Linked DNA regions of Anolis sagrei. The protein of the gene in region 1 interacts with the protein of each later gene in a biochemical or structural test. Links are inferred from orthologs where the notes say so. Each region holds a gene or a part of one and is shown in the gene's direction. Other genes may lie near its edges.

Region 1 (10,151 bases):
AACATAATCTACTAGAATTGGCAATTTAAGTAGGAGTGGAAACACCGTATCACAGTAGCCATGGCATCAAGCCCAGACATCAACCATCTAGAAGATTTCCATGGCTGATAAAACTAAAATGTCCAAGAGAATCAATAGGACAGTACTTTATTTGTCTTTCAATAAGATCTCATGGGTTAGCTAAGGTAGTTTCTGTTTCAAAACTAGATTTGAATTCTGAAAGAGATCTAGACAATCAATTTCATTGAAGAATGTCTGGAGTTTTTGGCAGTCAATTGATTCAAGCATCTTGGCCAGAAACAGGACACTAGCTACTAGTCATTGACCCTTTCTGGGTCCAGATTCGGCTTCTTTTAGAGTTTCATGCACCTGTTATTACCATAATTCTTTGATTCTAAGACACCGTCAATTGTACGTACAATGCTCACTAATTTCAGTACCACTAACAGAAAAAAAGATTAATTTTATATGTAAAAAAAAATAACCTGAAAATCTTTATCTACACTGTCAATCATTACAGAGATGTGAATCCAGAATTTAGCTAGCTTTACTAAATTTAGCTAAGTTTACTAGTGCTTAATGGAAAGATGCAGAAACTCCTGTTTTTGCATGTTTACATGATGTGATCAGCTAAATTGTTTCACCACACTCCACTTCAAAATGACCAGTGTGAGCTGGGGTATTCAACTGGTTCTAGTCACAGCTCTCAAATTACTATATAAGGCAAGTTGCTCACATATTTCTGTGCTGCCCAGCCTCTTCAATAAGATGACCGTTTTGAGATCTTTATCATTATTGTCAAAACATAGATGAACAGGAGATGAACTATCTGAAAGACTGTCCAGCTTTGTCTCTTCACAGAAGCTGTTCAGGATGCTGAAAGTGATGGAATCCAGATTCCGATTTGTAAGAACAGAGCTAGGGCAGTATTAAAGTCGTTTTAGGGTTGTTTTTTTTTACGAAACAGTGTATCAAAATATATTCATCAAAAGGGGGTGGGGATTCAAACTTTTTTTGACAAAAGAAGGTTCGGCCGAATTGTGATTGAACCCTTAGATTTCATCATGTGCTTAAGTATGATTCCTCCAAAGTAAGTCCTATTAAATTCTGTGGAATTTATTCTTGGCGAGGTTGAACTAAGATTATTCGCCTCACTTATTAACATCAATCGTGTGATTATCAGGAAATAATGATAGTGCAAATGTCTATACCCACATGTGGATTTCTAGGAGTTAAGTCAATGGCATACCTGATGCTGAGCAATGTGTCATAGCCTGGCTTCTTGGCATTCACACCCACCCTGCAAAGAAAATGGCGTAATAATTTTAAAATGGTGACTGAGAGATACATATAATGAGTATCTTTTTGAATGTTGGTATTTGGGAGACCAGGATTCAAATCTTTGTTTAGCCATGGAGGCCCACTATTTGACCTTGGGCAAGTCACATTCCCTCAGCATCAAAGGACAGCAATGAAGATCTTATCTATATAAGGTCAAAAGTATTTAAATTGCTCTTTATTGTGTTCAAGGAATCAGAAATATTTATTCAGTCTTTTGGGTTCAAACTCCTTTCCATACATATTATAAAGAACTAGACATAAGGTCCTTTCTATCTTCTTGTCAGGAAATGCCTGCATAATCACCAAGAAAAATACTTTATGTAAATATGACTCTGATTAATAATTACTAGTCCACAGCATCACAGTTCTGACTCGGTAGTCTCGAACAATGATATCTGAAGGTACTTACAAGCTCCTACTTTCCTTGGCATCAACTGGATTCTGTCCATTCTGATTTTTTTCCAGTGAAAAATAAATCTGGGAGGCCGGACTACTACACTAAAGCATTAGCCTCTGAGGCCATATTTGCTTCCAATAATACCTCTAGGCCCCAAATGCAATTCTAGAAAACAGAATTGACCAGTGGTTTGGAAGTGTGCGTAGCTGGCAGGAAAAAGATAATAAAACGGGGACTGTTCTGTATGGGTGGGAGAAAGAAATATTTGGCTTTTTTTTCCTCAAATGATTTGAGTTGTTATTTTGATGAAGTTTTATTTTTACCGTACCTTTTATCTGTATTTTGCCTGCGCTTACTTGGGCAATGGGCATCATCAGTTTGTCTTGGGTAAAAATTGGTGTTTTGCTGAGCTCAAGTAAGTGATTGAGCTCACATCCCAAGCTCTCAAACTGGTTGATTCTGCATACGGACTGTAGGCTACCTGTTAAACAGGGAGCCAAGATGCCAACATGACATTTTGTTCCTTTCTGATAAGTCTGCCAATGTATGAGACCTGTATAGCCATCTTTCTAAATTCAAAGAATTCTGAAAAATTTAGATACGTGTACTCTTTGAAAACAATGACTATGATGCCAATTATTTTATTATGGAAGTCAACTCCTATAAGGAGCTGGGTATGCTTAGCATTGAGAACAGGTCACGAGGGGATGTGATAGTCATGTTTAAATATTTGAAAAGGTGTTGTGTTGAAGATGAAGCAGGCTTGTCCTCTGCTGCTCCGAACAAATAGAACACAGCGCAATGAATTCAAACTAGAAGAAAATAATAGGAAGAACTTCCTGGTGGTAAAAGCTCTTGAACAGTTGAATATACTGCATTGAAGTGTGGCAGTCTCTTTTCTTTGGAGGTTTTTAAACAGAGGCTGGATGGCCATGTCAGGGATGCTTTTATTCTGTGCTCCTGAGTGGCAGGGGGTTGGACTGGATGGTCCTTGTGGTCTCTTCCACCTCTGTAATTCCACGATACTCATTTTATGAAAGTGTCTTATAAACATTGAACTTATTTCATATTGGTCCTGCCACCAAACAATCCATTACACCATCATGCGTAGATTAGCTCATGTTTTCCTCTCCTTGGAACTAAAGGAAACAGCTCTAAAACATAAGTGCAATTTAAATTAATGAAGGGGGCAAAGAAAATTGATTTCTCAGCTGCCAACAATGTGTTGCAAAGCCTTTTAATTCATTTGTGTATTTTTTTGAAATGCATGGTGCTGTCACTAGAAGGCTGAAGTATCTTGTAATATATATACCATATACCTATTTGTGCTAGAAAGCGATCATGGTTTTTTTAAGCTCCAGTTTGTTGTTGTTGTTCATTCGTTCAGTCGTTTCCGACTCTTTGTGACCTCATGGACCAGCCCACGCCAGAGCTCCCTGTCGGCCGTCACCACCCCCAGCTCCTTCAAGTCCAGTCACTTCAAGGATGCCATCCATCCATCTTGCCCTTGGTCGGCCCCTCTTCCTTTTACCTTCCACTTTCCCCAGCATAATTGTCTTCTCTAGGCTTTGCTGTCTCCTCATGATGTGGCCAAACTACTTCAACTTTGTCTCTAGTATCCTTCCCTCCAATGAGCAGTCGGGCTTTATTTCCTGGAGGATGGACTGGTTGGATCTTCTCGCAGTCCAAGGCACTCTCAGAACTTTCCTCCAACACCACAGCTCAAAAGCATCGATCTTCCTTCGCTCAGCCTTCCCTAAGGTCCAGCTCTCACATCCGTAGGTTACTACAGGGAATACCATGGCTTTGACTAGGCGGATCTTTGTTGCCAGTCTGATGTCTCTACTCTTTACTATTTTATCGAGACTGGACATTGTTCTCCTCCCAAGAAGTAAGCGTCTTCTGATTTCCTGGCCACAGTCTGCATCTGCAGTAATCTTTGCACCTAGAAATACAAAGTCTGTCACGGCCTCCACATTTTCTCCCTCTATTTTCCAGTTGTAAGCTCCAGTTTACTCTTCCTTATTTTCATTCTGAGGAATGTATCTTTGGTTACATGCAGGCAAAGGTCATACCACAATAAATGTACTGGAGCTTTTAAGGCACCACAAGGTTTGTCATTTTTACTGGGCCTGTGTTGTCATGTTGGAAAGGTTGTGAAGCTGTGGGAAAAGGCTATCCTTCAGAATTAATGACACTCGTACTAAAAGTGTTTATCTAACAAACAATCCCTGTATACATTCATGTGAGATGAAGTAAGGAAATGACTGAGCAGTTCTGGAGCTAGAGGATCATCACTATTATCAGGCACGAGAGACATAAAAACTGGTTTCTAATACCAAATTGATGCCCTTAATTTGTTTTTATGTGAATTCTGTTTCCATTTTATGACATGGATATTTTTCTATTGTTTCAGTGCATTCTAAGTAGGAAGAAAAAGATCTTCTAGAAACATAAAATAAAATGTTGCAACAGACCACTTTTCTTTTTAAAGGCTTGTCTGAACAAATCCCAGAACACATTGAGTGGGCCAAATAATTTTAATTTTAAGACAGTAAAATTGTACTATTGAGGCTGGAGGCCCACTTACATTCAGCAATTCAAGAGTAAGGCTAAAGTCCTATACAGACTTAGCTGAACATAAACCCTGTTGAACTCAGTGGGTCTTAGTCCTGAACAGGAATACACAGTTAAATATATAGGCAGGGCCTCCAAGGGTGCATTTACACTGTACAATTAATGTAGTTTCACATCACTTTAACTGCCATGGCTCAATGCTATGGAATTATAGGAGTGGGCAAGTCACACTTTCTCAGCCTCAGAGGAACTCTGAGGAATGCAAACCTCTTCTGAATAAAAGTTGCTAAGAAAACTTAATGAAAGGGTCACTTTATAGTTCCCAGAAAATGTCTTGAATGCCCACAATAGTGTGCCCCACCCCCAATGCATTTGCCCTTTAACAGCTCATTCGAACCCTAATATAAGTAAGTGTAATAAAGGTCTTTGGACCATAATAAAAATGTTGAGTTGGTAATACAAGTAAGTATGTAAGTCTAAGTAAAAAAATGTTATTATAAGGGTTTTCTCAGAGTTATTAATTCCATCTTAAATTACCATTTTATGTGCAGATTGTCACCCCTACCCAGATATACACTGCTTGTTTTATCGAAGCACAGTTAACAACCTTACTTGTTCCTCATGTAATTTTGTGACACTTCTTCACTGTTAAAATCTTTAATTCCTGTTCAGGGCACATACTATCTTTTTTTTGGGGGGGGGGGGGAACCCTGCAAAAAAAATAATACCAGAATTGTAAGGTATTCAGGGTGTACACATTTCCTTCAAGGTGTACAGTATACATTGTTGTTTGCTAGGGCTGATTCAACTCTCACAGTTCCTTACACAGGCACAGGCCTGGGCAAACTTGGGCCCTCCCTCCAGGAGTTTTGGACTTCCACAATTCCTAACACATACACAGGCCTGGGCAAACTTAGGCACTCCCTCCAGGTGCTTTGGACTTCAACTCCCACAATTCTTAACACAGGCACAGGTCTGCGCAAACTTGGGCCCTCCCTCTAGTTGTTTTGGGACTTCAACTCCCACAATTCTTAACACAGGCACAGGCCTGCGCAAACTTGGGCCCTCCCTCTAGGTGTTTTGGGCTTCCACAATTCCTAACACAGGCCTGGGCAAACTTGGACCCTCCTTCCAGGTGTTTTGGACTTCTACCATTCCTAACACATACACAGGCCTGGACAAACTTGGGCCCTCCCTCCTGGTGCTTTGGACTTCAACTCCCACAATTCCTAACACAAGCACAGGCCTGGGCAAACTTGGACCCTTCTTCCAGGTGTTTTGGACTTCCACAATTCCTAACACATACACAGGCCTGGACAAACTTGGGCCCTCCCTCCTGGTGCTTTGGACTTCAACTCCCACAATTCCTAACACAAGCACAGGCCTGGGCAAACTTGGGCCCTCCCTCCAGGTGCTTTGGACTTCAATTCTCACAATTCCTAAAACAGGCACAGGCCTGTGCAAACTTGGGCCCTCCCTCCGGGTGTTTTGGACTTCAACTCCCACAATTCCTAACACAGGCACAGACCAGGGCAAATTTGGGCCCTACTTCCAGGTGCTTTAGACTTCCACAATTCTAAGCACAGGCCTGGACAAACCTGGGCCCTCCTTCCAGGTGTTTTGTCCTCCCACAATTCCTAACACGGACACAGGCCTGGGCAAACTGGGCGCTCCCTCCAGGTGCTTTGGACTTCCACAATTCCTAACACAGGCACAGGGCCTGAGGCTGTTAGGCACGGTGTGAGTTGAAGTCAACAACACCTGGAGGGAGAGCCCAAGTTTGCCCAGGCCTAGGGCAGAGCAAGGCCCCTCCCCTCTCTCTCCCTCTCTGCGCTCTCCTCGCTCTGCTTCCCCGGCCTGACCTTCCCAACATGGCGCCGCGCCGCCCCCTTGACGCCGCCCAGCGCCCCCCTCCCACCGGGGCCTCCTCCTCCTTCTCCTCTTCCTCCTCCTGTTTCTCCTGCTCGGTGGGCGGTGGGCCGGGCCTCTCGGGAGAGCCAAGGTTCATCTCCCGACGCTGAAACCAAGGCAGAAAGAGCGCAGAAACGGAGGGAGGCGAGTGTGAGGACGTCACGGAGGACGGCGGCTGCGCTGAAGGGAAAGGCAGGGAAGGGAAGGGAGACTCTCTCTCTCTCTCCCTCAGTCTCGCTGAGGCGCCTCAGTCTCTTGGAAGAGGAGGAGGAGGAGGAGGAGGAGGGGGGACGGAGCGGCCGCCTCCGCACCTGTCTCTCCGCCCCGAAAACGGAGCGAGGAGGACGGCAGCGGCGACGAGTGGGTGTTGCCGGCGCCAAGCACCTGGCTCCCCTCCTCCCTTCCCTTCCCTCTCCTCCCCTCTCCGCCGAGGAAGGGACTCGCGAGGAGGATTGGCGGCGAGGCGGAGGAGGCCCGGCCGCGACCTGCTTCTCCGAGGAGACCCGTGCTGTCTTCCTTGAGGCAGAGGAGGCCTCTGAAGAGACCCCCCTGCCTTCCTGCCTTCCTCGCTGGTGGGAGACCTCAAAGGGAGGGCGTGCTTTTGCTGTGGCTGTGTGTGTGTGTTTTGAAGCATATACATTTATATATAGAGAGAGACACACACAATAACAACCTCTTGCGGCCGGAGGCGCTGGAGCCGCAGCGGGAGCAGCAGGAGGATGAACCCCAATGTCACCTACGCCAGCCGCAAGCGGCGGAAACCCGTGCAGAAAATGTAAGCCGGGGCTGAGGGAGGGGAGGGGAGGGAAGGAAAGGGGGCTCGCCCTTGAGACTGAGGCTCTCCCATCGCTTCTGCGGGAGGCCTTTCCTCCCCCGCCCTAGGCCGCCCCGCTGTCTCCCTCTCTCCTCATGACCCATCCCAACTTTCCCCCTCCCTCCTTTCCTTCCTTCTTCCCCTACTTTCCCCTCTTTTCCCTGTTCCCCCTTCTCTTCTTATTCCCCTCTCAGCTCTTTCCCCCTTCTTCCCATCCCAATTATTTCTTCCACTTCCTCTTCCTCTCCCCATTCTTCCGACTCCTGTCTCTTCTGCCCCCCCCCCGCCTCTCTTCCCCCTCACCCCCCTTTCTGCCCTCTTTCCCTCCCTGCCTTAGCCCTCTCTCAGCTCATTTTTCCACATCCCAATTCTTTCCCCTCTCTTCCAGTCCTTCTCACTTCTGTCTCCTCTCTTCTCTATGTTTCCAGTTTTGACTTTTTCTGGATTTGATCTACTGGTCAACACACATTTTGGTGCCTCCCTTATTAGACCTGTTTCTGAGGCCCCTTCCACACAGCTGAATAAAATCCCACGTTTTCTGCTTTGAACTGGAATAATATGGCAGTGTGGACTCAGATAACTGCCCTCCTCTCCCCTCATCTCTTCCCTGCTTTAGCTCCTTTACTCCCCTCTTCCTCTTCCTCCTATTGCCCCTCTCCTGACAACCTTGTGTTTTCATGCCAATGCCAAGATAACAATAATACACTTTATATTCCGCTTTATCTCAGAGCGGATTACAATCTACACCTTTCCCCTTTCTACCCTCATCTCCCCTCCCTATTTTAGCTCCTTTACTTCCCTCTTTCCCCACCTTTCCCCCTTCATCCCATTGCCCCTCTCCTTATAACCTTGTGTTTTCATGGCAATGCCAAGATAATAATAATAATAATACACCTTATTTATATTCCGCTTTATCTCAGAGCGGATTACAGTGTACACCTTCCCCCTTTCTGCCCTCCTCTCCCCTCCCTGTCTTAGCTCCTTTACTCCTCTCTCCCCCCACCTTTCCCCTTTCATCCCATTGCCCCTCTCCTTACAACCTTGTGTTTTCATGGCAATGCCAAGATAATAATAATAATAATAATAATAATACACCTTATTTATATTCCGCTTTATCTCAGAGAGGATTACAGTGTACACCTTCCCCCTTTCTGCCCTCCTCTCCCCTCCCTGTCTTAGCTCCTTTACTCCTCTCTCCCCCCACCTTTCCCCTTTCATCCCATTGCCCCTCTCCTTACAACCTTGTGTTTTCATGGCAATGCCAAGATAATAATAATAATAATAATAATAATAATAATAACAATAATAATACACCTTATTTATATTCCGCTTTATCTCAGAGAGGATTACAGTGTACACCTTCCCCCTTTCTGCCCTCCTCTCCCCTCCCTGTCTTAGCTCCTTTACTCCTCTCTCCCCCCACCTTTCCCCTTTCATCCCATTGCCCCTCTCCTTACAACCTTGTGTTTTCATGGCTATGCCAAGATGATAATAATAAACTTTATTTATATTCTGCTTTGTCTCAGAGCAGATTACAGTATACTCCTTTCCCCCTTCTGACCTCCTCTCCCTGTCTTAGCTCCTTTACTTTCCTCTTTCCCCACCCCTTCATCCCATTGCCCCTTTTCTGACAACCTTGTGTTTTCATGGCAATGCCAAGATAATAATAATACACTTTATTTATATTCCGCTTTATCTCAGAGTGGATTGTACAGTGTACAGATATAAGGCATCACCATCAGAATTTCAGTAGCTCTTTAAAAACAAAAACAAAACCAGAAATCTCAGGCATGAGTAAACTTGAGCCCTCCAGGCTTGCTCTTGAGACTGGGATCCCTCCCATTGCTTCTGTGGGAGGCCTTTCCTCCCCCGCCTCTGAGAGGGCGCAATTTGCCCCAGGCTGCCCTGCTTTCCTCCTCTTTACCTATCTCAACTTTCCCCTCCCTTCCTTCTCCCCTGTACTTCTCTTTCCTCTGCTTTTCCTGTTCCCCTCTCTGAACTCTTTTCCCTTTTCTTCCCATCCCAATTCTTTTCTCCCATTCCTCTCCCCATCCTTCTTACTCCTGTCTCCTCTGGGCTCCTTCCTCTCATCCTCTCAACCCCATTTCTCCTTTCTGCCCTCCTCTCCCATCTTCCTCTCCCTGCTATACCTTCCTTACTCCCCTCTTTCCTGATCTCTCCCCCTTCATCCTATTGCCCCATTGCTTACAACCTTGTGTTTTTATTGGAATTGCTGATCACTTTCAGAATTTCAGTAGCTCTTTTTTTAAAAGATATATCAGGCATGGGCAAACTTGGGCCCTCCAGGTTTTTTGGGGATGCTTGACTTGGAACCCCTGTTGTTTTGCATCTACTGGAATTGCTTGCCTTGTTTTTATGAAGTACTTCATATGACAGAGAACCTTGGGAAACTATTTTCACACAGTCATGCCCAGAAAGAGAAACTGGCCTGAGATGCATTATTTGAGAAAGAAAAATACTGTGGAAAAAATGTGTTATCAATACATGCACCCATAGAATAAGGACTGCAAGAGGGTGATGCAGTCTTCATGAACACCCAGCAAGACCAGAGGTGGACAGCTGAAATGCAGTGTTGTTTGGGATAGGAATGGAAAGAACTTTCACAGACCCATTTGTCCATGACACATTCATCAACCCTATAAAGAAAATGGTCACTTACTATAAGATTGTCCAATAGGTAGGCTTGTGGGAGTTGAAGCCCAAAACACCTGGAGGGCCCAAGTTTGACCATGCCTAAGATATATACACACACACTGTAAAAAAGACAAATATGTATTCTCTTTCCCCATTTAAGTTTTTGTCTTGTGATTGTTGTTTATTTTCCTGGCTCAAAGGCCTCTCTTCAGTTTGCTGGTGGGAGCATCCCTGACGTCTGACATAATATACGTGCATCTCTCTATCTCTCTCTGTCTGTTTTCCAGCAGTGTCTGCTGGAATGAAGACGTCTACCTGTATAAAGGGTTTTGGTGGCCCGAGGTGGCCCTTTGTGCAATCTGTGTCAACCCTCCCTTCCCTTGCTGCCGTAGAGCCGCTTCTAGTGACTTCCTGGCTCTTTGTCAATAATCCACGGGGAGCGTCAAAAGAGCCTCT
Region 2 (9,542 bases), on another chromosome or scaffold:
CCGAGCAAAATGCAACCCTGTGCCTAGGCTTAAATAATATATAGTTGTCAATAAATACTATAATAATATATACTATATTATACACTTTAATACTATATACTATGTATTATATATATAATATGAAATAAAACAATATAATGCTATATACTATAATATATAGTATACACCATATATATAATATATTATATAATAATAATATATATAATTATATATTATATAGAATATATAATATACTATATAATATACTATATATATATGTATTATAATATATATATGTGTGTGTGTGTGTATATGTATATGTGTATGTGTATATATATATATAATATAATATACACCAGAAGCGACTTGCAGTTCCTCAAGTCGCTCTGGACACGACAAAAAATACACACACACACATATATATATATATTATATAATAAATACTCAGATGCAACCACAAGAAAACCGTATATAGATAGAAAGGATTAGCTACTTGCCGATAGATATGCATGCATGCAGAGCTCAAATGCAAACACAAGATGGCAGTAAAAAGATAGAAAGGATTAGTTACTGGACTATTATTATTATTTATTATTATTATTTCACAGTTTTGTATACCGAGCTTCTCAACCTCGTTGAGGGACTCAGCCCGGTTTACATAGATATATAGATATTTATGCATGCAGTACTCAGATGCAACCAAAAGAAGGCAGTATATAGCTAGAAAGGATTAGCTACTGGCCGATAGATATGTTTACATGCAATGCTCAGATGCAACCACAAGAAGGAGGTGTATAGATAGAAAGGATTAGCTACTGGCCAATAGATACGTATGCATGCAGAGCTCAAATGCAACCACAAGACGACAGTATATAGATAGAAAGGATTAGCTACTGGCCAATAGATACGTATGCATGCAGAGCTCAAATGCAACCACAAGACGACAGTATATAGATAGAAAGGATTAGCTACTGGCCAATAGATACGTATGCATGCAGAGCTCAAATGCAACCACAAGACGACAGTATATAGATAGAAAGGATTAGCTACTGGCTGATAGATATGTATGTATGCAGTAATCAGATGCAACCACAAGAGAGCAGCACATAGATAGAAAGGATTAGCTACTGTCCGATAGACACCACAAGAGATATATAGATAGAAAGGATTAGCTACTGGCCGATAGATATGAGTGCAGTGTTCAAATGCAGTGTTCAAATGCAACTACAAGACAGCAATCTAGAGATAGAAAGGATTAGTTACTGGCCTATAGATATTTATGCATGCATGCATGCAATACTCAGATGCAACCAAAAGAAGGCAGTATATAGCTAGAAAGGATTAGCTACTGGCCAATAGATATGTTTACATGCAATGCTCAGATGCAACCACAAGAAGGAGGTATATAGATAGAAAGGATTAGCTACTGGCCGATAGATACGTATGCATGCAGAGCTCAAATGCAACCACAAGACGACAGTATATAGATAGAAAGGATTAGCTACTGGCTGGTAGATATGTATGCATGCAGTACTCAGATGCAACCACAAGAGAGCAACACATAGATAGAAAGGATTTGCTACTTGCCGATAGATAAGCATGTATGCAGTGCTCAGATGCAACCACAAGTGGCTATTACACTGCTAGAAAGGATTAGCTATTGGCCGATAGATATTTATGCATGTAACCTAATGGTCTAGTTTACATGTCAGTCGAATTGCTCCTCTTCCCAAGTGGAGGTCGGGATGGCCGTATACGGATCCACAATCAGCTTTGCGCAGCGCACCATCATGATGAGGAGGAAGAAGCACATCAGGGAGAGGAAGCCGACGCAGATGCCTTTGTCCACGTCCACAAAGGTCTCGGCAGTGGGGTCCTCCATGGGTCTAATTGAGGGTGGTCTTCTTACCCAGGAAGGGGTCTTCCCCTCATCTGTAGGGGCAGAAACGTGGGAATGGCGGGTTCCGGAAAACATTACTCATTTGAACTCGAACTCCCGCCATGAGACCCCCTTACAACACATCTACACCCTGTGGAATGAATCCATCTTGACCCCACTTGAACCTCCATGGCTCAATACTATGGAATAATGGGATTGGTAGTTTGGTGAGGCACCAGGTTACATAGTTCACCCGGACAAGGTGAATGGAACACAGTCGCCAAGGCTTGGCGCTTACCTGCCTTGTCTGCGGGAAAGGATCTGCCAGCGTTTCGCTCTTGCCCCGGTGCCAAAATGGGTCTCTGCCATTCGGTTGTTCAGCTCTGCTCTTCTGTCACCGAAAGCATTCTCATGAATACTTCACAAGGTGCGGGTGCGTCAGGTTTCACCCAGGACAGGGAAGGAGAGTGGAAGGATCCCTCCCAGGTTGGACTGCGTAGCTGTCGTCGCCCAGATCATATTCCCATTTGTTAATCTATCTATTCATCAATCCACCTATCCATCTATTTATCCATCCCTTCTCTCTATCCATGTATCCATCCAACCATCTATCTATCCATCCATCCATCCAACCACCCATCCATCTATCCATCCACCCATCTATCAATATAGCAGTCTATCCATCTATCATCCATCCATTGATCTATCAATCTATTCATCCATCCATCCCTCTATCTATCCATCTAACTCTCCATCTATCTATCTATACATCCATCCATCAATATAGCAGTCTACCCATCTATCTATCTATCTATCTATCTATCTATTTATTTACAGTTCTTATATTCCGCCCTTCTCACTCCGCAGGGGACTCAGGACGGATTACAGTAAACACATATATGGCAAACATTCAATGCCAGTTTGACAAACAACATTTAACAGACAAAAGCTATTTAACTTCTTTTTTTTTCTGGCCGCCAGGGGAGCTGCTGCTTTTCATCGTCCATCAACGACACCGATGAAGTTCTTTCCATCCATCTATCCATCCACCCATCCATCCATCCATCCATCCATCCATCCATCCATCCATCAATCTATTCATCCATCTATCTATCTAACTATCTATCCATCAATCTATCCATCTATTCATCTATCTATCTATCTATCCATCCATCCATCCATTTATCCATCTAGCTATCCATCTATCTATACATCCATCCATCTATCCATCCACTCATCCATCTATCCATCCACCCATCTATCAATATATCAGTCTATCCATCCATCCATCTTTCTATCCATCTATCCATCTATTCATCCATCTATGTATCCATCCATTCATCGATCAATATATCTATCCATCCATCCGTCCATCCATCCAACAATGTATCCATCCATCCATCCATCCATCCACCCATCCACCCATCTATCAATCTATCAGTCTATCCATCCATCTATCAATCAGTGTACCCATCCATCCATCCATCCATCCATCAGTCTATCTATCCATCCATCCATTTCCATTGACGCTGGATGATGGGAGTTATGGTTCACTCCGCACCCAGCGAGCCCTGTGACTCCCATTGCTGGCGGATCTGGACCAAACTTGGCACACAGATGATGGAAGTAGTAGTAGTAGTAGTACACCCTTTGCCACCCCCTGGTGGTCACATTGAGCATTGCTCCCTCTGGGTATTCTGACCCTCCATTGAAATCTCAGGGGCACCATTTGCCCAGGACTCCTATGTGCAATCCTTTGCCGCCCTCCAGAGGATGCATCAAGCATTGCACCTTCTTGATATTCTGCCCCTCCATTCAAACCCTTGGTGCATCTTTCTTCCTTCCTTGTTTCCTTCCAGCTTCCCTTCCTTCCTGTAAATAAATAAATAATATATAATAATATATTAGTAATATTTATTTATACTAATATTATAAGTATATATATATATATAATATAATATATAATAATATAATATATATATAATTAATTATATATATAATATATAATGATATAATGATATAATAATGTAATATATAATATTATAATTATATATACATAATATAATTATGTAATTATTCATAATAATTGATAATAATATATAATGATAAAATAATGAAATATATAATATTATATATATATATATATAATTATGTAACAATCCATAATATATGATAATATATAATTATATAATAATGTAATATATAATATATATAATGATATAATAATAATCCATAATATATGATAATAATATATAATGATGTAATAATGAAATATATAATATTATAATTAAATATATATTATATATAATTATGTAATAATTCATAATAATTGATAATAATATATAATGATATAATAATGTAATATATAATATATATAATGATATAATAATAATCCATAATATATGATAATACTATATAATGATATAATAATGAAATATATAATATTATAATTATATATATAATATATAATTATGTGATAATCCATAATATATGATTATAATGATATAATGATGTAATATTTAATATTATAATTATATATATAATATATAATTATGTGATAATCCATAATATATAATAATAGTATATAATAATATAATAATGTGATATATATTATATATATAATATAATTATGCAATAATCCATAATATATGATAATATATAATGATATAATAATGTAATATAATATATATATAATTATATAATAATAATCCATAATATATGATAAAATAGAATGATATAATAAGGTAATATTTAATATTATAATCATATATATAATATATTGTTATGTAATATATAATATTATAATTATGTAATAATCCATCATATATTATAATAATATAGAATGATATAATAATGTAATATATAATATTATAATTATATATAAAATTATGTAATAATCCATAATATGATAATAATATAATATATATTATAATTATATATATAATATTATTATGTAATAATCCATCATATATGATAATAATATATAATGATAATAGTGTTGTATTATGTATTTTAAGTTGTATTGCTTTAGATTTGCAGAGAGAAAGCGGGATATAAATAAATAAACAAATCCATTCCCGGACGCCCCTCCCCCTTTTCCCGCTGCACCAATGGGAGAGCTATTCGCCTCTCTGTCCCCGCCCCTTCGGCGTCAGAGCTCAGAATAGGAAGCGCGCACGGGAGGCCACGCCCAGTTGGTTTCGTTGCACCAATCAGAGTACTCAATTGCTCGCCCCGCCCCCTGCTGGGGTTCGCCCCGCAGTGGGAGCGCCCGCCATCTTGGAGGCGAGAAGGGAGCAGCGGGGCAGAGCGGGAGGGCGCCTCCTCCTCCTCCTCCTCGGGTCGCCATGGCAACCACTACTGCTAGCCAAGGTGGGTTGAGGCCTAGTGGGCCTCGCGTTGTGGCGCCACTCCAAGGAAGGCCGCGTCTTGGAAATAGGGAAAGGAAAAGGAAAAGGGGGTTTAGGGGCATGCTGGGAGAGGACAACATGGAGGCAGGCCCAGGGGATTCTGGGAGGAGTGGGTCCAAAAGAAAAGGAAGGAAAGGGAGGTCAAGAGAGTCAAATGGGGAGAATTTGGGGGGAAAGAGGAGGGTGGCTTTTGGGGAGGAGCTTTGAGTGACAGGAGGAGGGACTCAGGGAGGGAAGCAGAAGGGATATTTCTTGTTATTATTGTTATTTCTATATTGATTTGACTTGGTGTTATGGGAGAGCAAAATAGGGGGAAATGAAAGGCATTGCCATTGATAATAGTCTCATGTAATACGGTATGATACTAGTAATATTATTATTATTATTATTATTATTATTATTTGCTTTATTTCTATACCACATTTTTCAGCCTAATTAGGCGACTCAATGCGGTTTACACAATACAGGTTATCACAACAATATCCTAAGCGATTAAAACACATCATATACAGCAGACAAAATCAAACAATCATTATCATATCATAACGCCTCAGTAACAAATCAGAATCCGTTCTCATCATCCTTGTACCATTTCCTTTGTTCAATTTTACCGTCTTCCTGTGTTCAGTAATATTACAATAATATTTCCGAACGTATTCTCCCCTATGAACCATCAAGATTATTAAGATCGTCTGGAGGGGCCCTGCTCTCGGTCCCACCGGCCTTGCAAGCGTGTCTGGTGGGGACGAGGGACAGGGCCTTCTCGGTGGTGGCCCCTCGACTCTGGAACTCTCTCCCACCGTAGATCAGAACCGCCCCTTCTATCCTGACATTCAGGAAGCAGGTGAAGGCATGGTTATGGAGACAGGCATTTGACGAGTGAGCCAACGATTATTAAGATGGTCTGGAGAGGCCCTGCTCTCGGTCCCACCGGCCTCGCAAGCATGTCTGGTGGAGACAAGGGACAGTGCCTTCTCGGTGGTGGCCCCTCGACTCTGGAACTCTCTTCCACCGGAGATCAGAACCGCCCCTTCTATCCTGACATTCAGGAAGCAGGTGAAGACGTGGTTATGGAGACAGGCATTCGATGAGTGAGCCAACACCCTGAGATATGGATGGAGGTTGATGAACATCGAATTTAGTGGGACGACTGACCATTGTATTTATTGAATTATTTTATTTATCGTGTCATCAGCAACCATACCATTGTATTACAATTCTAACAGAACAAAACAAACACACAGATTAAAAAGAGGGGAAAAAACACACAGATTTTGCAAACTTGGTAATTGGTTAAATGTCCTTTGACCAGTATCTGGCCACTTGGAGTGCCTCTGGTGTTGCTGCAAGAAGGTCCTCCCTGGTGCATCATGTGGCAGGTCTCGGGGTGCATTGCAGCAGGTGGTTTGCTCCTCCCTGCACTTGCATGTCGAGGATTCCACTTTGTGGCCCCATTTCTTAAGGTTGGCTCTGCATCTCGTGGTGCCAAAGCGCAGTCTGTTCAGTGCTTTCCAAGTCACCCAGTCCTCTGTGTGCCCAGGGGGGAGTCTCTCATTTGGTATCAGCCATGGATTGAGGTTCTGGGTTTGAGCCTGCCACTTTTGGACTCTCACTTGCTGATGTGTTCCAGCGAGTGTCTCTGGAGATCTTAGAAAACTATTTCTTGATTTAAGGCGTTGACGTGCTGGCTGATACCCAAACAGGGGATGAGCTGGAGATGTCCCTGCCTTGGTCCTTTCACTATTGGCTGCCACTTCCCGGCGGATGTCAGGTGGTGCAATACCAGCTAAACAGTGTAATTTCTCCAGTGGTGTAGGGCGCAGGCACCCCGTGATAATGCGGCATGTCTCATTAAGAGCCACATCCACTGTTTTAGGTGGCGAGATGTGTTCCACACTGGGCATGCGTACTCAGCAGTAGAGTAGCATAGCGCAAAGGCAGATGTCTTCACTGTGTCTGGTTGTGATCCCCAGGTTGTGCCAGTCAGCTTTCGTATGATATTGTTTCTAGCACTCACTTTTTGCTTGATATTCAAGCAGTGCTTCTTGTAGGTCAGAGAACGGTCCAGAGTGACTCCCAGGTATTTGGGTGCGCTGCAATGCTCCAGTGGGATTCCTTCCCAGGTCATCCTCAGAGCTTGGGATGCTTGTCTGTTCTTAAGGTGAAAGGCACATGTCTGTGTTTCAGGTGGATTAGGGATCAGCTGGTTTCCCCTGTAATAGACAGTAAGGGCACCTAGAGCTTCGGGGAGCTTCTGTTCAACCATCTCAAACCTCCCTGCTTGAGCAGTAATGGCATGATCATCAGCATAGATGAAACTCTCTATCCCTTCTGGCAGTGGCTGGTCATTTGTGTAGATATTGAACATTCATGGAGCAAGCATGCTCCCCTGAGGCAGGCCGTTCTTCTATTTCCGCCATCTGCTTCTCTGGCCCTGAAACTCAACAAAAAAGCTCCTGTTTTGTAGCAGGTTTCCTATGAAGCAGGTGAGGTGGTAGTCCTTTGGGATATTATACATTTTCCTCAGGAGGAGGCGGTGGTTACAGTCTCATAAGCCACTGACAGGTCTATGAAGACAGCTCCTGTGATCTGCTGCCTTTCAAAGCCATCTTCTATGTGCTGAGTCAGGTTCAGCACTTGCAATGTGCAGCTTTTGCCTTTCCTGAAGCCAGCTATGCAGTCATGCCGGCCACATGACCTTGGAGTGTCTACGGACAACGCCAGCTCTTCGACTTAGAAATGGAGATGAGCACAACACTCCAGAGTCAGACACAACCGGACTTAATGTCAGGGGAAAACCTTTACCTTTACTATTATAATTATGTATTTTATATTATATGTAGTAATACTAATAATATTACAATATAATGGTATAATACGATATAGTAATATATAATAGTGATATTGTACTATGCTAAATAATATATCTATCTTATAATATGTATATATATCTTGTAAGCCGCTCTGAGAAATGGGGTGAGAAGGGCAGCATATAAATGTCGTAAATACATAGAAGTGGTATTCTTAGCCAGGAAGGGATATTTCCCTCAAATCCATTTCTAAGCTTTTTTAATACTCTAAACCTCACTTGCCAAGTTTCCAACAGACCCCTCAACTTCTGAAGATGCCTGCCATAGATGTGGGCGAAATGTCAGGAGAGAATGCTTCTGGAATATGGCCAGGCAGCCTAGATAACTCATAGCAACCCAATGATTTCAGCTATGAAAGGCTTCAACGTCATCATTGTTATAATTGTTGTTGTTATTCCAGAAATGGCCTCAGATGTTTCCTCTTTGGGTTCACCGTCTGGGACATCAGGAGCAGGAGCACATTCTGGAGGAGGCATCGTCCAGAGAACAAACAAGCGGAGGACAGGGTAAGGTGGCTCTTGGGTATTTGGAGAAGGGGGCAATTTTAAGAGGAAGATCCAGCAATTGTCCTGTGAGTTTTAGAATGACAGAACCATAGAGTTGGAGGAAACCCCAAAGGCCATCCAGTCCAACCCCCTTTACCATTCAGGTATCCATTCAGGTTTCAACAGTAAAGGATCCTTGGGTTCCTCCGCTGTGCCAGGCCTTCATTTCCCTTCTAGTTTTCCCAGGGTATTGTTTGACGTTGGAATGTGGCAGCTGGGATCTCACATCTTGCTGCTGTCCTTCCTCAGGCTCGATTTTGACGACGACGGCGAAGGGAACAGCAAATTTCTCAGGTGAGTTGAGCTTCCGTCGGCAAGGACTTGGGGTCCTAGATGGGGAAAATTCTGTGGAAATGCCCATCTAAATCTGGAGTGAGGTCTGTGACAGGTTGGCAGGTACAGGCTATCCCCAAGTTAGAAACATTCAGAAGTCAATTTTCCATCCGAGGGGTAGAGTCCTCTCACTTCCGATTGTCTCAGCCCTGTTCTTAACTAGGAGTCGCTTGTAAGTTGGATGTCTGTAACTTGGGGACTGGCTGTATTTTTGTGCCGGGTCGAGGAAGTGATTTGATTCTTCAAATGATCCCTGATTTGAAGATAGAGTGGTATATAGATACAGTTTTTTTATTATTTATTATTAACTAGCTGTACCCGCCATGCGTTGCTGTGGCAAACCGTCCCTTCCTCTTTCTTTCCATCTTTCCCTCCTTTCTTTGCTCTCTTTCCTTCCTTCCCTTTTTCCCTTTCCTTTTCTCCTTCCTTCCTTCTCTACCTTTCCTTCCTTCCCCCTTTATCTCTTTTTTCTCTCATTTCTTCCTTCCCTACTTCCTTCCTTCATTTTTTGCTTCCATCCTTTCTT
Region 3 (10,708 bases), on another chromosome or scaffold:
GTTTGAGCATTGTTGCCATGGCTGGTTTGTTGTTGACAGAACCATAAGAATTAATAGTCTAAAAGCAAGTTGTTGTTTGTTGTTCATTCATTCAGTCATTTTCGACTCTTTGTGACCTCATGGACCAGCCTGTGCCAGAGCTCCCTGTCGGCCATCACCACCCCCAGCTCCTTCAAGGTCAATCCAGTCACTTCAAGGATGCCATCCATCCATCTTGCCCTTGGTCGACCCCTCTTCCTTTTTCTTTCAATTTTCCCTAGCATAATTGTTTTCTCTAAGCTTTCCTTTCTTCTCATGATGTGGCCAAAGCAAGTTAGACCCATGTTTTATATTTATTCCTTTGAATTCTGCCAGTCAACAAATCTAGACATTAAGTGACAAAGAATGCTAGAAAATTTTCTTTCTGTTTCCTAAAGGTCTTTTGATTATGAGGGTTGGATGGTAGGCCATTGGGGGGGGGGGGTCTCTTCCAATGCTATGATTCTACTTAATCCTGTCACTTTTTCAGCTGTCCCAATTTCTATCTCCTCCTCTGACTTTCTTCTTTTGTTTGAATCATCTGGATCCTACCTTGATTTTGTTTTGTCATGCGTGTCCCAGTTTTCATCTGTGAAATGCTGGCTGCTATGGTATTTGCAAATCCTGGACCTTATCCCCTGTCTCCATACTATGGTTGATTTTTAAACCGCTCTCTCTCTCTCATGTTTCCTTTAATAGCCTTTCCCCGCAAGCTAAGCAGGCCCAAATGTTGTAACCTTTCTTCTGTTTGCTCTAGAATTGCCACGGTTGGCACAGCCCTTTGTGTCGAATCAGCTTCTAGCCAAAGACATCACATTCATTCAACTAATGAGACTCATCAGTGCTGCCAAAAAAAGACCTTAATGTATTATGTAAATGCATGATTCCCTCAAATGTTTCAGACATCCCGGCTCCACACACCTTCCTTATTTCTGACAGCTTTAAAGTGCTGAGTCCGAGCGAATAGTAAAGCAGTCCCAAGGAAACTGTTTTTCTTTTCAACTCCATTTCAGATGTGTATCTCTCTGTGGACTTCTTTAGATATATGAGGCATTCAAAAAAAGGCATATATGATATCATGGCAAACCAGTTGGATCCATACAGACACAAGTGTTGTTTCCCTGCAAACAAATGCTACTATGAATCCATGCATTGGGAAGCTTTGATAAGTAATCAGTTCCCATGGTTGCCGATATGTAACAAAACATTATACACAGGCAGGGTAGAACAGCAGGTTACAAAGAAGTACAAGTGTTTTACTTTAAATTCACTTTGTTAGGTATTTATTTATTTATCGTGTCATCAGCAACCATACCATTGTATTACATTTCTTAAAGAACAAAACAAACACACAGATTAAAAAAAACCAAAAAAAAAAGAAAATCCACAGATTTTGCAAACTTGGTAGTTGGTTAAATGTCCTTTGACCAGTATCTGGCCACTTGGAGTGCCTCTGGTGTTGCCGCAAGAAGGTCCTCCATTGTGCATGTGGCAGGGCTCAGGGTGCATTGCAGCAGGTGGTCAGTGGTTTGTTCTTCTCTGCACTCGCATGCCGTGGATTCCACTTTGTAGCCCCATTTCTTAAGATTGGCTCTGCATCTCGTGGTGCCAGAGCACAGTCTGTTCAGCGCCTTCCAAGTCGCCCAGTCTTCTGTGTGCCCAGGAGGGAGTCTCTCATCTGGTATCACTCATGGATTGAAGTGCTGGGTTTGGCCCTGCCACTTTTGGACTCTCGCTTGCTGGGGTGTTCCAGCGAGTGTCTCTGTAGATCTAAGAAAACTATGTCTTTGTTAGGTGTCCTTGACGGGGTTGCACTCCCCCTGAAGTCACAGGTCCGCAGCTTAGGGGTCCTCCTGGATTCAGCGCTGATGCTTCATGCGCAGGTGTCGGCGATGCCTGGGAGGGCCTTTGCACAATTAAACTTGTGCGCCAGCTGCAACCACACCTTGTGAGGTCTGACTTGACCATGGCGGTCCACACCTTCGTTACCTCTAGATTGGATTACTGCAATGCACTCTACGTGGGGCTTCCCTTGACGATGGCCTTTTGTAGTGATTGCTCCCACGTTTATTTATTTATTTACAGCATTTATATTCTGCCCTTCTCACCCTGCAGGGGACTCAGGGCGGATTACAATGTACACATATATGGCAAAAATTCAATGCCAATTAGACATACAACATATATAGACATACACAGAGGCTATTTAACTTTTTCTGGCCGCCAGGGGAGCTGTCGCTTTCATCATCCATCTACGACACTGATGAAGTACTTCTTCATTCCCCGCATGCTTTGCTGGAGTGCTTTTTGCTGGAGTCTTTTTTATGCCCTCATAAATTAGTTAAATTAGCCTCCCCACACATAGGTGGTACCTAATTTTCCTACTTGACAGATGCAACTGTCTTTCGGGTTGCAAAGGTCGACAACAAGCTACACAATTGGTCGGACACTCACTCTGACCTGGGCTGGCTTCGAACTCATGACCTTTTGGTTTAAAAGGTACGGCGTCTGGCCACCCTCTTGTTTGCTGCAGAAGCTCCTGGGATAAAGGTACTGTCTGGAAGATATGGAAATCCAGTTTACTCCAGTTTATTTATTTATTTACTTTATTTGTATACCACTCTTCTCAGCCCTTAGGCGACTCAGAGCGGTTTACAACAGTTTAGATATACAGAATACAAAATCATTATGCATTTAAAAGCAATTACTAGTATTATATTGCATTACATTACAATATTATAAATATTATATGTATATACAATATATTATATTATAACATATTATTAGAATAGCACAGGAGACAAGATGGAACTGTCCCCTGGCCCCTCGTTCTTCGCTCTGGCCCAGAGCGGCAGTTGGTGCTGCGGGGAGGGGTCCCCAACGGATGGCAAATGCAGGAGACAAGATGGTGCTGTCCCCTGGCCTCCCCTCTCTTCGCTCTGGCCCAGAGCGGCAGTTGGTGCTGCGGGGAGGGGTCCCCAACGGATGGCAAATGCAGGAGACAAGATGGTGCTGTCCCCTGGCCTCCCCTCTCTTCGCTCTGGCCCAGAGTGGCAGTTGGTGCTGCGGGGATGGGTCCCCAACGGATGGCAAATGCAGGAGACAAGATGGTGCTGTCCCCTGGCCTCCCCTCTCTTCGCTCTGGCCCAGAGCGGCAGTTGGTGCTGCGGGGAGGGGTCCCCAACGGATGGCAAATGCAGGAGACAAGATGGTGCTGTCCCCTGGCCTCCCCTCTCTTCGCTCTGGCCCAGAGCGGCAGTTCGTGCTGGGGGGAGGGGTCCCCAACGGATGGCAAATGCAGGAGACAAGATGGTGCTGTCCCCTGGCCTCCCCTCTCTTCGCTCTGGCCCAGAGCGGCAGTTGGTGCTGGGGGGAGGGGTCCCCAACGGATGGCAAATTGTTAGTTGTTAGGAATTGTGGGAGTTGAAGTCCAAAAGCCCCTGGTGGCGCAGTGGGTTTAAACCCCTGTGCAGGCAGGACAGGTCGCAGGTTCAAATCCAGGGAGAGCATGGATGAGCTCCTTCTGTCAGCTCCAGCTCCTCATGCGGGGACATGAGAGAAGCCTCCCACAAGGATGATTAAACATCAAAGCGTCCCCTGGGCAACATCCTTGCAGATGGCCAATTCTCTCACACCAGAAGTGAGTTGCAGTTTCTCAAGTCGCTCCTGACACAACAAAAAAAAGTCCAAAACACCTGGAGGGCCCAATACATTGGCTGTATTTTCCCATTGGACAGTTCTAAGCTAAGAAAAAGTGTGTCATGTCTCAAATGTGAAATGTTTCAAACACTGAAGAACATTTCCTCCCTCAGAACTGCATGACAGGGACACATAGTGAAATCTTCTATAAAAGAGCCTTCTCCAGTTTTTACTGTGAGATGTCAGCCATTAGGCAGAGGCTTCCTATTCCTTGATGTCTCCTTCTTTTAATGAGAGAGAGATTCTTCTCTCAGGTTTTCTAGGCGCTTCTTCCGGGAGGGAGGGGGGAAGGAGAGGAGCGCAGCCGCTTTCCCGCCTTTTCTAGGACATTCTCAGGGCGACGAGGGGGGGAGCCCAACTGTCAGAACAGCCCTTCGGAGGGGGCGGGCACAGCGGCGGGAACAGCCCAACGGACTCCGCTCCCTCCTTTCCACGTGAAGGCAAAGCTCCGCCCTTCCTCTCGGCGATGATGTCATCTCTCTCAATCTGCAGAATACCCTCACAGTCCTTCCAACCAGGTTGAAGGCAGGCTGCGCAGGCGCAGTCTCTACTGGCGAAAAGACGGGGAGGGGGGAGGAGAAGAAGTAGCCTGAGGGTTCTAGGTCTGTGCGCATGCGTGGATGAGAAACTGGGTGAGAATAATATTATATATAATATTAATAATGTTGTAACATATTATATGCTACATCTTATGATATAGTACAATATATTAAATAATACTATAATATCCTGGTAATGAATTATATATATTGTAGTATAATATAGTACCTTATAGTATAATATAGTACTATATTATAATATAATATATAATATATATAATATATATAATATATAATATTATGTATAATATATATAATATAATATAATAATATATTATAATATAATATTATATAATATAATAATATAATATATTATATATTATATATAATATATAATATAGTAAAATATAGTACTATATTATAATATAATATAGTATATTATAATATAGTATAATATAGTGACCTTGAAGGAGCTGGGGGTGGTGACGGCCGACAGGGAGCTCTGACGTGGGCTGGTCCATGAGGTCACAAAGAGTCGGAGACGACTGAACGAATAAACAACAACAATATAGTACAAAAAAATAATATATAATAAGTGTATATTACGTTTAATTATTGATTTATTATTATTATTATTATTATTATTGTTTAGCAATTTTGTATACCAGTCTTCTCCCCTCTATCGGGCGACTCGGGCCAGTTTCCAACAATAAAATCACAAAACAATCATTATAAACATCATATAACATATTCAATTGAAACGTTATAACAGCAAGATGCAATCACATAATAACAATGGTCAGTCGTCATAGTGAATTCGTTGTCCATCATTCATCGTCATCTATCCGATCACAGAAATATTGATTCACTCGTTGAAAGCCAAACCCCATAGCCAGGTTTTCACCCGTTTTCTGAATGACAGAATGGAGGGGGCAGTTCTGATCTCCAGTGGAAGAGAGTTCCAGAGTCGAGGGGCCACCACCGAGAAGGCCCTGTCCCTCATCCCCACCAGACGCGCCTGAGAGGCCGGTGGGACCGAGAGCAAGGCCCCTCCAGACGATCTTAACAACCTAGATGGTTCATAGGGGAGAATACATTCGGACAGGTAAACTGGTAGACTGACATTTATATGCCACCCTTCTCACCCTGAAGTGGACTCAGCGCAGCTTACAAGTTATAGGTACATAAATATATTATATTATTAGCATAGCACAATATTAGCATTATATATTACTATATTGAACCACTAAACTGCAATATTAGCAATATTACATACAATATATAATTATTATATTGTATTATTATTAGGATTATATTGTATTACAATATTATCCTCAATTGAATGGAAAATGGAATGTTGGTGGGCAGGAAAAGAGATTTAAAGATTTAAAGATGGGCTCAAAGCCAACCTTAAAAACTCTGGCATAGACACTGAGAACTGGGAAGCTCTGGCCTGTGAGCGCTCCAGCTGGAGGTCAGCTGTGACCAGCAATGCTGCAGAATTTGAAGAGGGCGAAAGAGAGAAACGTGCCAAGAGGTAGGCGCGTCAAGCCAACCCTGACCGGGACCGCCTTCCACCTGGAAGCTAGTGTAATATAATATTGTAATATGATTTAACATATTAAATATGGTACAACTGATAATATGCAATGATATACTGTTTTATGTTTGTATATTTGAAGTTGTAATGTTTTTGATGGTGAGCCGCTTTGGATATGGAGAGATAAAGCAGGATATAAATAAATACAAATAAAAGCATATAATAAAATACATAATAGAAAGAGAGGAGAGCTATGCATAGCTTTCCCTGCCAGGCGAATCTGCGCAAGCGCAGTGCAAGCCTAAGATACCGAGGGGAGGCAAGTCTCTCTTGCTTTCGCGCAGTGCGCATGCGTGATGGATGAGGCACTCGAGGTAGGTGGGGTTTCGCGAGAGAGAGTGAGGGAGAGTCCTCCAATCAGGCGCATGCGCATTCTTCCCCCTCACCGCGCGAGGGAAGCCCCGCCCCCTTTCCCCTCCTGCTCTGTCAGTGAAGGTTCCCGATGGTTCTGGAAAGAGGCGGCGCGAGGGCATAAAAGGCCCGCGAGAGGCGGGGGCGCAGTGCAGTCGGTGAGCAACCGCCGGAGAGGGAGCATCGCTTGGGAGAGCGCTCGGGCAGCAGCTGCAGATCTTTAAGGCCGCCAAGGTGAGGAGAGGGAGGAAGACTGGCTGGAGATAAATGTCGGAGGGAAGGAATAGGAAGGGGGGGGGGAAAGCAATTAAAGGGAGAAGGCCTTCCCTTTTGTAGTTTTCCTTCTAATCCATGAATGAATGAATGACAGGTTGCACTTCAACTCCTACAATTCATAACAGCCTACCGGCTGTTAGGAATTGTGGGAGTTGAAGTCCAAAACCACCCGCAGGGCCCAAGTTGGCCCAGGCCTGCAATAATGTCATTAGGCTCCCTAGTCATGGATGCAAAGGGGAGGGGGAGGGCTCCTTTCTGGCAGCCTCGCGCCCGTGCGGGGCAGGGATTGGCTGGCGGGAGGCGGTGGGCGGGGCTTCGTTCCTTTAGGGGCGGGAAGTCTCTAGCAGTTTCTAGAAGGGTTCCTTACCCCTCCCAGGCCGACAGATGGCGCAGATACTCTTAGTATTCAGGTCCTTTGGCCTGAATTGGGAATTGGGAGGAGGCAACACTTTTTGACAGTGACAGAAATGTATTATTTTGTAAGGGGGGGGGGGGAGAATACAATTTGGGGCTGGGAGAGGTTTATGGCAGAAGCTTTGAAGGCTTTTTTCCTCCAATTGGAATATTGTGTCCAATTCTGGGCACCACAATTGAAGCTGGAATGTGCCCAAAGGAGGGTGACTAAAATGATCAAAGCCCTATGAGGAGCGACTTAAAGAGCTGAGCATGTTTAGCCTGAAGGATGAGAGGAGATGTATTGATACCACTATTTCCTGTGGCCAGGAAATCAGTGGAGGGATTGAGGGAGGAGGCAACACTTTTTGACAGTGACAGAAATGTATTATTTTGTAAGGGGGGAATACAATTTGGGGCTGGGAGAGGTTTATGGCAGAAGCTTTGAAGGCTTTTCTCCTCCAATTGGAGTATTGTGTCCAATTCTGGGCACCACAATTGAAGAGAGATCTTGACAAGCTGGAATGTGCCCAGAGGAGGGTGACTAAAATGATCAAAGCCCTATGAGGAGCGGCTTAAAGAGCTGGGTATGTTTAGCCTGAAGAAGAGAAGGATGAGAGGAGATGTATTGATACCACTATTTCCTGTGGCCAGGAAATCAGTGGAGGAATTGAGGGAGGAGGTAACACTTTTTAACAGTGACAGAAATGGATTATTTTGTAAGGGGGGAAATACAATTTGGGGCTGGGAGAGGTTTATGGCAGAAGCTTTGAAGGCTTTTCTCCTCCAATTGGAATATTGTGTCCAATCCTGGGCACCACAATTGAAGAGAGATCTTGACAAGCTGGAATGTGCCCAGAGGAGGGTGACTAAAATGATCAAAGCCCTATGACAGTGTTTCTCAACCTGGGGGTTGGGACCCCGGGAGGGGGTGTCAGAGGGGTCACCAAAGACCACCAGAAAACACAGTATTTTCTGTTGGTCATGGGGATTCCATGTGGGAAGTTTGAGCCAATTCTATCGTTGGTGGAGTTCAGAATGTTCTTTGATTGTAATGAACTATAAATCCTAGCAACTACAACTCCCAAAAGTCAAGGTCTATTTCCCCCAAACTCCACCAGTGTTCATATTTGGGCATATTGAGAATTCGTGCCAAGTTTGGTCCAGATCCATCATTGTTTGAGTCCACAGTGCTCTGTGGATGTAGGTGAACTACAAATCCCAAAACTCAAGATCAATGCCCACCAAACCCTTCCAGTACTTTTTGTTGGACATGGCACTTCTGTTTGCCAAGTTTGATTCAATTCCATTGTTGGAGGAGTTCAGAATGCTCTTTGATTGTAGGTGAACTATAAATCCCAGCTACAACTCCCACAGGACAAAATCAATACCTTCCCCCAATCCCATCAGTATTCAAATTTGGGCATATTGGGTATTTGTACCAAATTTGGTCCAGTGTATGAAAATACATCCTGCATATCAGATATTTACGTTACTATTCATAACATCAGGAAAATGACAGTTATGAAGTAGCAATGAAACTAATTTTATGGTTTGGGGTCACCATAACATGAGGAAGTGTATTAAGGGGTCATGGCATTAGGAAGGTTGAGAACCACTGCCCTATGAGGAGCGGCTTAAAGAGCTGGGCATGTTTAGCCTGAAGAAGAGAAGGATGGGAGGAGATGTATTGATACCACTATATAATGCAGAGCAATGTCCAATCTCAATAAAATAGTAAAGAGCAGAGACATCACATGGGCAACAAAGATCCGCCTAGTCAAAGCCATGGTATTCCCTGTAGTAACCTACGGATGTGAGAGCTGGACCTTAGGGAAGGCTGAGCGAAGGAAGATAGATGCTTTTGAGCTGTGGTGCTGGAGGAAAGTTCTGAGAGTGCCTTGGATTGCGAGAAGATCCAACCAGTCCACCCTCCAGGAAATAAAGCCCGGCTGCTCACTGGAGGGAAGGATACTAGAGACAAAGTTGAAGTACTTTGGCCACATCATGAGGAGACAGGAAAGCCTAGAGAAGACAATTATGTTGGCGAAAGTGGAAGGCAAAAGGAAGAGGGGCCGGCCAAGGGCAAGATGGATGGATGGCATCCTTGAAGTGACTGGACTGACCTTGAAGGAGCTGGGGGTGGTGACAGCCGACAGGGAGCTCTGGTGTGGGCTGGTCCATGAGGTCACGAAGAGTCGGAGACGACTGAACGAGTGAACAACATATAATGCAGTTTAAAAGCCCTAAACGACTCCGGCCCTGTTTACCTCTCCGAACGTATTCTCCCCTATGAACTATCAAGATTATTAAGATCGTCTGGAGAAGAGGCCCTGCTCTCGGTCCCACTGGCCTTGCAAGCGCGTCTGGTGGGGACGAGGGACAGGGCCTTCTCGGTGGTGGTCCCTCGACTCTGGAACTCTCTCCCACTGGAGATCAGAACCGCCCCTTCTATCCTGACATTTAGGAAACAGGTGAAGACATGGTTATGGATCCAGGCATTCGACGAGTGAGCCAATATGCTGAGATATGGATGGAGGATGATGAACAACGATTTTAGTATGACAACTGACCATTGTAGTTATTGAATGTAATTGCTGTTTTAAGGTTTTACTGTAATATGAATTATGATGTTTTATTGACTGTATGTAATATTATGGTTGGAAACCGGTCTGAGTCCCTCAAGAGAGGTGAGAAGGTTGGTATACAAAATGAATAAATAAATAAATAAATAAAAATAAAATGTTTCAAATTGCATTATATGGCAGTGTAAATAGAGTCTGAGGGATGGGAATTCCATAAGTTGGAAGTAGCCATTGAGAAACCTCCCTTTTTCACCAAACACCTGTCTTAGGACACATCTATGTTATAGAGTTAATGCAGCTTGACTCCACTTTGACTAACGTAGCTCAGGTCCCTTCTACACAGCTGAATAAAATTTATTTATTGTATTTTTACCCCGCGCTATCTCAACCCTGGAGGGGATTCAGAGCGGCTTCCAAATTGATAATACTAAATGCTGCATTAAACATACAGATAAAAAATACATACATCCTAGGAGAGGAGACGTGATCACCATGTATAAATACGTGAGAGGAAGTCATAGGGAGAAGCATGGTGTATCCAATGTAATCTTTTGAATCAGCACCCCAAATAACCAAACTCAATCTCAAGTTGACAAAAATCTGATTCGTAACTCTTTGGTACTAATGTTGGAGAGTGGTCCTTGGTAAAAAAAAAGGTTGGGAACCACTGGATTACAGGATTCCTTTATATCTTTTTATAGCTTCTCCTTTTCCCCAGGAGTTGTGTCCATTTGTCCAAAGGCAGATCTTGTATTCATTGGGTGTGTGTGTTAATAATAATAGTAACTTTAATGTGTTGTCAAAGGCTTTTATGGCCGGAATCGCTGGGTTTCTGTGAGTTTTCTGGGCTCTATGGCCATGTTCCAGAAGCATTCTTTCCTGACGTTTTGCCTGCATCTATGGCAGACATCCTCAGGTTGTGAGGACTGTTGAAAATGTCAGACTACACAGAGAAACTGTGTAGCTGTGCTGTTCCTTATTTATTGTCTACGGTTTTAATACCGTAGACGTATTTTGTTCATTTTCATGGTTTCAACAGAGATACACACACACACATATATAAACCTCACTTGCCTAGTTTCCAGAAGACCTCACAACCTCTGAGGATGCCTGCCATAGATGTAGGTGAAATGTCAGAAGAGAATGCTTCTGGAACATGGCTATACAGCCCAGAAAACTTTATTTGTAACCTACCTTATCACCCTGAGGGTACTCTGGGCAGTCTCCAACAAACATGGCAAACATTC

The links. The genes of interacting proteins can lie anywhere in the genome.
Region 2: the proteins of AHR (region 1) and ARNT form a complex in vitro, tested with the Homo sapiens proteins (14 studies listed by BioGRID, with this or other methods). The link is inferred for Anolis sagrei from reciprocal best matches to the Homo sapiens genes AHR and ARNT.
Region 3: the proteins of AHR (region 1) and HSP90AA1 form a complex in vitro, tested with the Homo sapiens proteins (2 studies listed by BioGRID). The link is inferred for Anolis sagrei from reciprocal best matches to the Homo sapiens genes AHR and HSP90AA1.

Annotation. Positions count from the first base shown.
Region 1 is NC_090026.1:95,812,448-95,822,598, reverse strand, and holds the start of AHR (aryl hydrocarbon receptor), read left to right. Parts: upstream 1-6,264; 5' UTR 6,265-6,945; coding exon 6,946-7,001; intron 7,002-10,151. UniProt on the Homo sapiens protein: Ligand-activated transcription factor that enables cells to adapt to changing conditions by sensing compounds from the environment, diet, microbiome and cellular metabolism, and which plays important roles in development, immunity and cancer.
Region 2 is NC_090032.1:5,035,117-5,044,658, reverse strand, and holds the start of ARNT (aryl hydrocarbon receptor nuclear translocator), read left to right. Parts: upstream 1-5,111; 5' UTR 5,112-5,205; coding exon 5,206-5,230; intron 5,231-8,538; coding exon 8,539-8,644; intron 8,645-8,932; coding exon 8,933-8,977; intron 8,978-9,542. UniProt on the Homo sapiens protein: Required for activity of the AHR. Upon ligand binding, AHR translocates into the nucleus, where it heterodimerizes with ARNT and induces transcription by binding to xenobiotic response elements (XRE).
Region 3 is NC_090021.1:323,768,147-323,778,854, reverse strand, and holds the start of HSP90AA1 (heat shock protein HSP 90-alpha), read left to right. Parts: upstream 1-6,277; 5' UTR 6,278-6,441; intron 6,442-10,708. UniProt on the Homo sapiens protein: Molecular chaperone that promotes the maturation, structural maintenance and proper regulation of specific target proteins involved for instance in cell cycle control and signal transduction.